Linked DNA regions of Sus scrofa. The main gene of each other region encodes a partner of the protein of the gene in region 2 in a complex. Links are inferred from orthologs where the notes say so. Each region holds a gene or a part of one and is shown on either strand. Other genes may lie near its edges.

The links. Proteins that work in one complex are often made in the same cells at the same time.
Region 1: POLR2K (region 2) and GTF2F2 share a complex: the UniProt entries of both Homo sapiens proteins name them as parts of the TBP-based Pol II pre-initiation complex. The link is inferred for Sus scrofa from reciprocal best matches to the Homo sapiens genes POLR2K and GTF2F2.
Region 3: POLR2K (region 2) and POLR1C share a complex: the UniProt entries of both Homo sapiens proteins name them as parts of the pol I pre-initiation complex. The link is inferred for Sus scrofa from reciprocal best matches to the Homo sapiens genes POLR2K and POLR1C.

What each region holds. Positions count from the first base shown.
Region 1 is NC_010453.5:22,142,103-22,146,413, forward strand, and holds the start of GTF2F2 (general transcription factor IIF subunit 2), read right to left. Parts: upstream 2,820-4,311; 5' UTR 2,661-2,819; coding exon 2,595-2,660; intron 1-2,594. UniProt on the Homo sapiens protein: TFIIF is a general transcription initiation factor that binds to RNA polymerase II and helps to recruit it to the initiation complex in collaboration with TFIIB.
Region 2 is NC_010446.5:36,849,790-36,854,020, forward strand, and holds the start of POLR2K (DNA-directed RNA polymerases I, II, and III subunit RPABC4), read right to left. Parts: upstream 2,834-4,231; 5' UTR 2,693-2,833; intron 1,492-2,692; 5' UTR 1,484-1,491; coding exon 1,423-1,483; intron 1,113-1,422; coding exon 1,020-1,112; intron 128-1,019; coding exon 105-127; 3' UTR 1-104. UniProt on the Homo sapiens protein: DNA-dependent RNA polymerase catalyzes the transcription of DNA into RNA using the four ribonucleoside triphosphates as substrates.
Region 3 is NC_010449.5:38,510,304-38,514,339, reverse strand, and holds the start of POLR1C (DNA-directed RNA polymerases I and III subunit RPAC1), read right to left. Parts: upstream 2,820-4,036; 5' UTR 2,756-2,819; coding exon 2,672-2,755; exon of another isoform or gene 2,600-2,671; coding exon of another isoform or gene 2,567-2,599; intron 2,546-2,566; coding exon 2,474-2,545; intron 1-2,473. Other genes in the region: protein YIPF3, read left to right, coding at 3,052-3,132, 3,727-3,924. UniProt on the Homo sapiens protein: DNA-dependent RNA polymerase catalyzes the transcription of DNA into RNA using the four ribonucleoside triphosphates as substrates.

The sequences.
Region 1 (4,311 bases), on a different chromosome or scaffold from region 2:
TCATAGTGGGAACATGAACAGATTTTAGAATACAAAGTATTTCCTAGTAATTCTTTTTTTTTTTTTTTCTTTTTGTCTTTTTGGTTGTTGTTGTTGTTGCTCTTTCTTGGGCCGCTCCCGCGGCATATGGAGGTTCCCAGGCTAGGGGTCGAATCGGAGCTGTAGCCACCGGCCTACGCCAGAGCCACAGCAACACAGGATCCGAGCCAAGTCTGCAACCCACACCACAGCTCACAGCAACGCCGGATCGTTAACCCACTGAGCAAGGGCAGGGACCGAACCCGCAACCTCATGGTTCCTAGTCGGATTCGTTAACCACTGAGCCACGACGGGAACTCCTTTCCTAGCAATTCTTATCCTCTTTCAGAGGCAAAGTTTGTCAAAGGACAAAAACTGGTTAAAAAAAAAAAAGAAAAAAAAAAGAAAAACTTCTTTCACACCCTGGAAAGATGCAGTAATTGCAAGCCTGTTATTTTCTTTGATATGTAAGTTTAGAAAAAGAAATACTACATGCCAAATTGATAGGAGGAAACAATGATATTGCAAGAAATAAACAAAACATTACAACTACCTTCACGAAACAGAACAAATCAATGGTTTGAGCTGAGGTGTTTTTAAAGTGGTAAAATGTAGTCTAATGGCCAAATATAACACTTAAATTTCTTAAGCTCATTTTCAATTCATTACATTCTTTCACATACTCCTTCACTCAGTCATCATATCCTGACAACTTTTTGCTGGAGAAATTTCCCTAACTTCTCAGACCTAACTATCAAATGCCTATGAGCCTGTGACAATTATCTAATTTTAACTAGTTATCTTCCCCTCAAGCTTTTTTTTTTTTTTCCTAAAACAATCATGTGCCTCCCTGTTTTACTTAAAACCCTCCAAAAGGTCCCTCACTTCTGGTAGAGCTAAGACATCTCCATCTCCCAGTGTGACATTATGAGTATATGGTCCCAATCCTCTCCTCCAGGCGCAGTGATCTCTGTTTTCCAGGACACACCATCTTACTGGGCATTTTCACTCCTGGATTTTGGTTCCACTCGCCATGGTATACTACAGAGATACCATGGGTGGCCTCGGTTCAACGAACCAACTCTCTGGAAGGCAAACACCAAATTTGTTGAGCATTTTATGGTGCTCCAAGCCCGAACACATCATCTCAAGCTTCACCATTTTTTTAAGCTCTAAGTCTCCAACAGACATCTCCTCCCTAATGATTCCCCTCCACCTGGTAGGCAGGAGAAAAGAGACACTTACTCCATCAGTTTACATGGTACTGATATAGCTGTGACAGGTCAAATGAATGCCAGAGCCTAAAGCTAGGCTTGAGGAGTTCCCTCATTCATTCATCACGTATCTACTGAACTATTACTATGTGTCAAATACAATTCTGGGTGTGACAGGCAAGGATCCTAGTCTCCTGAAATGGTACTGTGTGTGTGCTAATCAAAGGGAGGTAAACAACACTGAACACAGACACACTTAAGACTCTGACAAGTGCTCTGAAGACTATAACACAGGTTTAATATGCTGGTGAATAAAAGAGATTTAAGACAGATAAACAGGAAGGGCCGCTCACATTTAACTGATGAGAACTCAGTCATGTGATCAAAGTCTAAAAAAATTTAGGAGTTCCTTCTGTGGCAGAACAGGATCGGTGGCATCCTGGGAGTGCTGGGAAGCAGGTTCGATCCCAGGCCCAGCACAGTGGGTTAGGGAGCCAGCATTGCTTCAGCTGCGGTTCAGGTTGCAACTGCAATTCGGATCTGATTCCTGGAACTCCATACGCCGCGGGGTGGCCAAAAATGAAAATAAGTAAAAAGTAAAATAAATGAATACATTTAACAAACCAAAGATTTCCCTACATCTCATTTCAGTTTCAAAGACTGTCATCATCACACTTTGAACACACATGCCTTATGAAACCCTCCTAAGAGACAACACTCTCCAATATGCAAAAGTAAAGTACAAATACTTTGCTAAGGGCTAAGTGCTCTCTTTACAAAAAAAAATAATTGACAATTAGTTTTTAGGAGATCCAGTTGTACTCTAAAAGAACTCTCCAGTCCATGGCCTCTTCTTCCTTGAATTCAGAGCTCTCTCAGCTCTCCTGAGAACTCCACAACAGCCATCAACCTAAAAGAACACTTTAGGGGTACGCAGGGGTCAGTTCTACCCAATGGCTGCAAAAAAAAACTGTACAAGAAGCAGACACCCAACTTCCTTACACAGACTGATAACTAAAATCAGTTTCACCAAGAAAAGACGCAGAAATTCTTCAGTATAGGGTAAAAAATACATCGGTCACATTGAGGGAACATCAAGATAGGGTCCCGAAAAAAACAGGTTATGGGGAAAGGAGATCCATCACAAGCAGGTTCAGACTCCTAATTGGCTAAAAGGTATCGGGCGTCCCTCAACTAATTTCCTTGTCTGCAAACGAGCGTAACAAGGAATCCTGCCTCTCAATAAGCGAAGATCTAACGAGACGACCGTAAAGAAGTTTAAAAGGTACACGGCGTGGGACAGTCTCAAGTCACTTCAACTACTTTAAGGAGGAGCACAAGCAGGAGCCGCGCAAACCTTACCTTGACCAGCCACACTCCAGTGTTCTGTTTGGCGCCCGTGAGGTCGAGTTCCCCGCGCTCAGCCATGGGTCTGTCGCCAGCGGAGGCGTACAAACCTGAGCAGCGGCCCCGGGAGCTGGGTGAACTGCGGGGCGAACGACCGGAGCACAGGGAAGGCCGCGAATGGGAAGCGGTGCAGAGTCGGCGTCCACCGACCGACCGGGATGCCGGGAGCCCCAGGAAAAGAGGAACACGCCGCCAGGAGTCGAGAATTGCGCATGCGCGCCGCTACCGTCACTACGGCGCGCTGCTGCGGACAAATTTCCTGAGAGGGCGCCTGCTTGAGTGGGCGTGGCTACTGCTGCTGCTGCTGCTGCTGTTGGCTGTGCCAGAGTGTTTAAAACACAGGAAAGGATGGGCGGAAACGTCAACAATACAGATCAGTAAAGATCACGTCAGTGTAACTGAAAATGGAAGGTGTCAAAACAGAAAAATGGAGTTCAGAGAGACAAAGGCTGTCAGTATATGTCCAACCCTGGCCATGGTGAGAGAGACAGCATTTGGAGGCCAGGGTAGTAATAAAGTGAATTAGCACAGCGGTCTCAATTGAAAGGCTACCCTGCGCACCTCCATTTAAACAAGCAGAGCACAACCCCTTCAGACTCCAAAACCCAAAGCCCTGTGATTAGATCAATGACAAGGGACATGTAACAGACAAATCTGATTGTTACACTCCCCTGCTTAAAGAGTCTTGCCTCTAGAACAAAATTCAATCCTCTCCACACAGGCCCTGTCAGTTTCATCCCTGCCACTCAATTCACCAGACATCCAACCACACTTAACCCATCAGACCTCTCCAGACACATCAGCATGCTCCTCAATTATTTCAGGGCCTCTATACACTGGATTCCCTTTACTCAGATGCCCTCTTCTTCCTTTACCCTTATTCTCACCCTTGAATTCTGATTGGCAGACTCCTACTTAGGTGTCAAGACTAATGGAAATCTCACTGCCTCTGAGAGCTTTTATCAACTCCCCCAGAGGAAGTTCATTTTCCTTCACATCAGAAAGAAGGGTGTGATACTTACCACAATGCACTATTATATACATGTTTACATGCTGCCTTTGCTTTCTAGACTCTGAGCTCATCCTAGGCAGATAAAGTGTTTTATTCATTTTTTATTAACAGCATCTAACACAGTGCTGACACCTTGTCAGATTTCAATAGGCTTTGGCTGCTGAATGAACATTTGCTGGAAGAAACAAACAGTAAGATATTGTAAGAATGGCCCAAAAAAAATGTGCTGAATCCCTCATCAGAGTTATACACATAATTTAAAAAGTTCTGTGTCTGTGCAGCATAGGGCTGGGAAAAGCTGTCAAGTCTTTGAGATTAGCTGGGAAAACCAATAGGAAAAAAAGGGAGATCAGGCATGTATTGAAAGGGAAGATTGCATTCTTATGTCACAGCTTGGGAAACAGCCTCAAAACATATAAAGGACAAGTGGATAACGAGACTGCCTTAAGCTTTGATCAAATAGAAGGAATAAACTGAAATAGGAGACCATGAGAGAAGAGGATTAACATAGCCTAGATCACCCTAGTAATGAGCTTTAAAGTAAAACATAGGCATTGACCTATAGTTTATGGGAATCCTTAAAAGGTGTGTGTGTGTGTTTGTGTGTTTACAGGGGTTAAGAGAGAATAAATGACTAAAGAAGAAGGAACACCTAGAGAA
Region 2 (4,231 bases):
AAATGAAATCATGATACACAGCTGTATTCTTAAAGTACACAAATCAAAAGCTATACAACATCAACAGCAAATCCAAATGAAGATATTCCTCTGAATTTCACGTTTCATCGAGCATCAAAAACCACCACTGTATTAAACTGAGTTAAGGAAAAGAAAAGTAATTAAAGATTTCATTAAAAATTTAGCTCTTCCAAGTCACTTTCTCTTTGTGACATCAATTTAAAATACACAAAAGAATGAAATTCACTATTTACTATGATAATTAGAAATGAACTAAAAATAAACTAGTTAATTATTAGTCCCCTTTTCATGATACAAAAGACCAATACACCAAAAAATACTTAAGTGATGGTAAAGGTAAAAATTTAGCAATCTAAAAAATACTGTTAGTTACTACATAACAATTTACTTTCTACTAATTTGTAAGCCTCACTTTCTCCACTAGGTAATATACGTCTCAATATTTTTATTTCTCCCTGTATAATTAGTGTGTCCATGAACTAAAGCTCAAGAATGAGTACTTAAATATAGAATCCAAGAAAGATACACTTATGAAAACCAAAATTAACTAGTATTTAGATTATTTAGTATATGCCTATGTACCGGCATATTGGTCCATAACAATGCTAATCAAGCTTTTTTTTCCCCTGCCTTTTTAGGGCCGCACATGCAGCATATGGAAAGTCCCAGGCTAGGAGTCGAATGGGGGCTGTAGCTGCCGGCCTACATACATACCAGCCTCAGCAACTCAGGATCCCAGTAGCATCTTCGACCTACACCATAGCTCATGGCAATGCCAGATCCTTAACACACTGAGCAGGGCCAAGGATCAAACCTGCGTCCCTATGGATGCCAGTCAGATTCGTGTCCGCTGAGCCACGATGGCAACTCCATGCTTATTTTTTCACTAAGTAATCCAAGTTTTACCATTTTTTAACAGCTAGTCTTTGACTATCAACCCAAGCATTATTCTCCACTTCCTCCTACCTCATATTTAGAAAACACAGTTAAAAGGATACATCTTTTAGTTCTTTTCTTGTACATTATTCTGTACCCACATTCTCTGCATCGGATGGGATCCCTTGATTTTATTTCATTTTCTGTGTGACATTCTAAAAGAGAAAACATATTTATTCAATGCCTAAAAGAGAAATAAGAGGCAAGCAAATTATCTTAATTATACTTTTCCCCCAAAGCACTAAAATATGTATACTAAATCTCAACATTATCAACATATTAAGGGAAAAGAAAGAAAAGAGTGGTGGGCAACGCACTTTTTCTAGGAGAGAAAATGAAATCTTAAAATAGTTGCTAAAGCGCTAACTTCAAAGAGGAAGGACTCAAGTAAAATAAAGATAAATGCACTATCTTTTTAAAAAACTGAGGTAAAATACTTTTATTTTATGTAAGTGCCACTCTTACCTCCACAGATATATATCATTGGCTGCTGTTTTGGGGGTTGAACGTCCTTCTGTGTGTCCATCGTTATCCCTGAAATCACAGATTCAAATACTGAACATCTTAAAGGGGCCCCTCACAAATCCAATCATGCCTTATTTTTCTCAGGGAAAGCTAAAAAGCTAAAAAGTTCCCAATTCCTAATCCGTACTTTTTAAAAATCCTACCGCTGGTTCTAAAGAATGAATCAAACCCACAAATAAGCATTTTGCATTTACCCCCAAACTGGACTCCATAAACACTTTACAGATTTCATATTTACACATGCTATTTCATTATAATCTCTACAACAATTCTAGGCGGTTAAATAATTACTCTTAATGAACAGATCAAGAAACTAAGATTTAGGGAAGGTTAATTTGGTCAGGATTATTCAGTAGTTAAAAGGCAGAGGAATTTAGATCTGACTGCGAAGCTCTGGTTTTCATTTAACACGAGTACAAGTACTATTTTTCTTTTTCTTTCTTTTTCTTTTTTTTTGTCTTTTTGCTATTTCTTTGGGCCGCTCCCACGGCATATGGAGGTTCCCAGGCTAGGGGTCGAATAGGAGCTGTTGCCACTGGCCTACGCCAGAACCACAGCAACGTGGGATCCGAGCCGCGTCTGCAGCCTACACCACAGCTCACGGCAACGCCGGATCATTAACCCTGCCCTGAGCCAAGGGCAGGGACCGAACCCGCAACCTCATGGTTCCTAGTCGGATTCGTTAACCACTGCGCCACGACGGGAACTCCAATTTTTCTTTTTCTTTCTCTCTCTCTCTTTTTTTTTTTTCCACCCGCGGCATGTGGAAGTTCCAGGCTAGGGGGTCCAATAGGCCTGACAGCCACAGCAACGCGGGATCCGAGCCCCGTCTGCTATCTATACCACAGCTCAAGGCAACGCTGGGTCGTTAACCCACAGAGCGAGGCCAGGGATGGAATCCGCATCCTCAAGGATACTCATCTGATTCAGTTCCGCTGCGCCACAAGGGGAACTCCCACAAGTGAAATTTTCCCAAAATTTAGCAAGAAATTGCCAAAAAACTATACCCCTCAACAGGAAAACATGCGAACCGAAGAAAAGGGAAAAATAATGAAATAACTCCTAACAGCTGAAAAGGCAGACAACCCAACAGCTAAACAAGCCAAAGGGCTAACAGCATCGACTCCATCCCCAGCCTCTCTCGACTCTAATCCCACACCGGACCTCCTGTAACCCCTAGTATCTTTCCAGTTTTGGCCCAAACACTCACCTTCCAATCCCAAACCGCCAATCCGCCAAACCCCTACCCACGGAACACGGAGAAACTTCCCGAGGCTCCCTAACAGATTCCTGAGGCCGCTGTGTGTCAGCCCACTTCCGGCACTGGCAGATGACGCAGGATGTAGTCTCCGCCCCTTCCGCCCAAGGAGTGGCCGAAGAACCCGGATTGAGCGCGGGCAGTTAAATTGGAATTATGTATGTTTGATTCGCTCTGTAGAGGTTCTTATTTGGCTCCCAACTATTTTCATTTTTCGGGGAGGCAAAGAATTTTAGCAGTTTCTCAGGTCGAAGGAGGTTTGTTTCTATGACAAATGAAGGCCGCAGAAAGTAACAGTTTTCCAAGAGGTCAGAGCGTTAGATACCCAAGTGAAGTGCTCATGGAATCCCTGGGCTGACCGTTACTCCAAAGAACGTGGAAGTATCGGTTTCACCGCTGATTTCCACGTAGAAGAGCAGTTTTCAGATTATGGATTTCAGATCGTTTTAATACCTGTGCCGCCGGCAGTGGAACAGCCGCCTCCTGCCCTTTGCATAATGTTTGCTTTTCGACCCTTTCTCACTTAGGTACCTGTCATCCTTCTCAGCCTCTCCTTTTACTCGTTTTAAAGCACAGGCGGACTTGCAGGCAGCTACATCCAACTACTGCCACTTAAAGCTGAGGGATTTAGGTAGTGGTGGCTGTTTACCGACCCTCCTTTGGTCCCATGTATTCTCTAGAAGAACAAAACGACCTGCTCAGTGGAATCCTTTCAAAGATCAAACTATTAGTGAGACATTATCGTTGGATGTACACATTTACATTCGTTTGCTTCTTTCATAGCAGGCATTTTACTAATATCAGAATGAGAGGAAGAAAATGAAGTTGTTACAATTTAGAAAATACATATTCGTTATCTATTACAGTTAATTGGAGAAGCAGGTTTCTTTCTTCCCAACATGCATTATTTTGGTTTCTTATTAAGCAGGCAATACTGCTCTCTGGTCTTCCATACGGAAACTTGGGAACTTTGAGCTTCGCATTACACTTCCAGGAGGAGTTCCAACTGCCGGCACCTCCACAGACCAACTTGAGAGATTTAACTCAATCTTCCCAGTCTTCTTAGCTCCCTGTTGTAAAAATTTCAGGAAACACAGTGGAGTGTCCTGCTTCTTCCTCCACAGACAGGCTAAGACAGAACATACAAGTATTTTGACCATCTTAAAAAATATCTCTCCTGTCAGCCAAAGGGAAGAGGTAACCCAAAAGAAGAATCAAAATAAGCTTTGCTCCAAGAAGTATTAGATAAAACCATTGTTATCATAAGAGAAAGATTATGGAGTGATCCAAAAAGTATAACTTTAATCATTGCAAGCTGACCTGGATTCCAACTCTCAAGCTTGAGATTTCAAGAAGATGCTGGCACTTAATGCAGTCTATGGAGATCAGGAGGAATTAACACATGCAGAATACAAACGGCTCCTGGGACCCTACAGAGGGGTAGAGTAAAGACAAGTTGTAGCAAGGAGATCCAGAATTTCAACAAGAGTT
Region 3 (4,036 bases), on a different chromosome or scaffold from region 2:
ATGAGGATTTAGGTTTGATCCCTGGCCTCAATCAGTGGATCAGGGATCCGGCATTGCTATGAGCTGTGGTGTAGACTGCTCGGATCCCAAGTTGCTGTGGCGGAGGCAGGCAGCTGTAGCTCTGAGAACAGCTGTAGCCTGGGAACTTCCATATGCTGAGGGTGAGGCCCTAAAAAGCACATAGAGAGGGAGGAAGTACATCTGCTTTAACTATTAAGGAACAAAATACATTCAAAGAATAGTACAAATATGCATTATGATTATTATCCTCTGAATTATTCTCCTGCCAACTTCCCCTTGCTAAAAGCAAAATGGACTTGGTCTGTTTTTCATTGGTATGATCACTTGCTAAACATCTTTACGCCAGGTTTAGGTCTTGAAAATGTTGCAGCTCATATTGAAACTTTAACAAAATTTACACAGGAGACTTTGAATGAAAGTCATTTTTTTAAAAAATAAAAAAAAAAAAGAAGGTAATGCTATTTCTTTACTCAACGATGAAATGACGTCAATGAGAAAAGCTATTCTACAAATCAGGATGGCCTCAGACATTATCACAACCTCCCAGAAAGGAACCTGTGCCATCATTAAGGTGGACTATGCTGGATGCTATTTCTATTTTATTTTATTTTTTGTCTTTTTTGCTATTTCTTGGGCCGCTCTCGCAGCATATGGAGGTTCCCAGGCTAGGGGTCTAATAGGAGCTGTAACTGCCAGCCTACACCACAGCCACAGCAACGCGGGATCCAAGCCGCATCTGTGACCTACACCACAGCTCATGGCAATGCCGGATCCTTAACCCACTGAGCAAGGCCAGGGATGGAACCCGCAACCTCATGGTTCCTAGTCAGATTCGTTAACCACTGCGCCACGATGGGAACTCCTGGATGCTATTTCTTTACCCAATGTTGAAATGACTTTAATGAGAAAAGCCATTCTACAAATCAGGATAGCCTTAGACATTATTACAGCCTCCCAGGAAGGAAACTGTGCCATCATTAAGGTGGAATCTTGTGCTTTTATTCTTGATGAATCTGCTAATGTATTTCAAGTGCTAAAACACAAACACAGATTGAGACCTTCAGTTGCCTTCTTCCAGATTTGGGAGGGCTTTTGGAGGAATGAAGGAATGGATCCCCAAAATCTTGGCTACAATCTCTTTTAATTGCTTACTGCTGCGTTTCTCTTGATTTCTTTAATAGATTTATCATCTGATGCGGAAGATCAACAGAAGCCACAAGGTTAACACTAACAAGCAGCATTGGCTTATTATTTTCCCAACAGAGGAGGGACAGGTGTTATGCTCCTTCTCTAGACAGACCTATGACCCATCTCAGGAGGAAGCAGCTAATGATCGGTCTCTCCCTATTTGCTCATTTAAGCATAATGGAGTAAAACAGCTGGAGGAAGGAATGATGGGGATAGAGTAGGATAATCACATAGTTTAGAAGTCCCACTAGGGTTTAAAGACAAAAAGGAAATGTTAAGGGGGTTTGAAGACTGCTGTAAGCCAACAACCGACCACTTAAGAATCCAGTAACTTAGCAACAATCTACACCACCTTGAAGGAAGACCAGGTGTATCTAAGCACCAGAAACAAGCCACAAGTCCTGATAGTTAAAACCCAAGACAAGAGATATGGGGTTTCAATCTTGTTACATGAAGTCAGAGTTATTGGTCCTTGAAGACTGGCATTGCTGCATGTAGACAAGGTGAAAGAGGGAAAAAACTAGGTGAAAGGGGAAATTATTCTGCAACCTGAAACGAATTACCACATTTTCGCATATGTTACCGCTTCTGCTAATATACCTATGATTTAAACAGCCCATGACACTCCCCCTTAGACCATATAGGGTCAAAGGAGGAACTGATGATGCAAGCCTGGACCATCTTACCCAAGAATGAGAAATAAGGTGGTCTTCTCCCCGCCCCACTTTCACCTTGATTATAAAAATGTAGCCCTCTTTGTTCTCTGGGTCGCACTCCCTTGCCTGCTCATTAGTATTTCTGACAAGCGTCCTATGCTAATAAATTCACTTATTGTGTATCGGTTTGCCTCACGCTGAATTCTTTTTCCCACGAGACAAAACCTGAGGCTCAGGAAGTCCTGACGATAGCAGGTGAGCGGTATCAATTAAGACAGTGGGTTTGAGTCCCCTCCTACGTCAGGGACCATGGGTTCAAGTTCCAATGGGGGTTTTGGCTGAGTTCGAGTCCCACCCGAAAGGGAGTGCAGCTTCAATCTTTATTGCTGTTAATCGCCCTTACCACAACTCACTAGAGTCGTGTTACCTGTACTCTTTTCCAAAAAGACCGAACCATCTCGTTAGCTTGTAGAACAAAGCAGAAATTGTGCACATCGAGTGCCTAACACATCCAGAGCGAACCCCCAAGGCAGTTTCCGAGGAACAGGATGTTCAGAGTGCAAGATCCGATCCTCATACCCTCTCTGAACACCTCCAGCTCTACCCACCTTCTCGAAGCGGTCCTGGTCCCAGGCATCATCATAGCCCGAATAGTTACCGGGAAAATCGGTAGTATGAACCTAGAGCAAAGAGAAACGAACCTGTTCGCGAAGGAGCAGCGAGGCCAAATTCATCCCCACTCCGACTCTAACTCATCCCTGCTCCGCTCTGATTTCTCCTCCCGAGGTCAAGTCCACAAGACTTACATTGCGAACCCCGAACTCCCCTAGAACCACGCGGCTCCGCATTTCCTCCACAGCCTGAGCCGCCGCCATCTTCAACTCCACCATGTGACTAGAGTACCAAGCCTGCGCGTGCGTTCTAGTCTCCCTGCCCCGTCTCCGTGGCAACACACCACCTCCCGGAATCCTAAATATCGCGAGAATCTGCCCCGCCTCCGTCCACGTCCTCAGATACCGGAAGTCAGTTTTAACCAAACATCCGGTTTTCTCCTTTTTGCGTTCCGGCCGATCCCACCTTTCTTTCTAGTCCCTGGACCTGTCCATCCGTCAGGCCCTCATCTCTCCCACTCCTCCTCAGCGCGCGGGACTAGCGCGGGCTTCAGCGACGGGAGCCCTCGAGGGACATGGCAACTCCGGCGGCGCCGGCCGGCGGCGCCCGAAATGGGGCTGGCCCGGAATGGGGAGGATTCGATGAAAACATCCAGGTAAGCGCCCCACGGCTCCGGCTGCCAGCAGCCCCACGGCCTGCAGCTGTCCTGAAGTGTCATGGGGACTCTTCCTTCGAGCCTTGGAAGTCTGCTCCGTTTGCAGAACTTTTTGTCTTCTTTGGGTCTTCGTGCACGTGAAAGGCAGTGGAACTAGTGCGGACCTAAAAGGTCCACACTAGTACCTCTGAGCCCCCTTGCTCTTGCTTTCCGCACAACTTAGAAGGTCGGGCACGGCCAGGGGCGAGGGTGGGATGGGGGGTAGGCGGGATTCACTGGCCAAAACCACACTGTGCGCGCAGCCTTGTTTTGGGGTGGAAAACACAAAGGAAATGGGCACTTTTGCAGCCTTTTGTGGCTTTGGTAGGAAAAGGACACGTATGGAAGACAGGGAGTAGGTTTCCCAGGCTGGAAAAGAGAGCCAAACAAAGGTTCTGAGAGCAGTTGAGGGGAGGGGAGTGGCATGGTCTATGGTAATTCTAAGCCGTATCTCCAGCAGTGAAAGGACAAAGCTCCAAGCTCTCCGGTGAACAGAGAAGGACATAACGGATGGAGCAGAAAGGTCCTCCACTGTGGGATCCGTTGTCTTCACAGGGTGGGGGCTCAGCTGTGATTGACATGGAGAACATGGATGATACTTCAGGTTCCAGCTTCGAGGATATGGGTGAGCTGCATCAGCGCCTGCGTGAGGAAGAAGTGGATGCTGATGCAGCTGCCGCTGAAGAAGAGGATGGGGAGTTTCTGGGCATGAAGGGCTTTAAGGGACAGCTGAGCCGGCAGGTGGCTGATCAGGTAAGCAAGACTGGCTCTCTGACAGGTGGAAAAGTATCCTGAGGCCTCTGGTTCTGAGTTGGTATTAGTGAAGTTCACCCCAGCTTGTCCAGTTAGAACCATGTAGAGATCC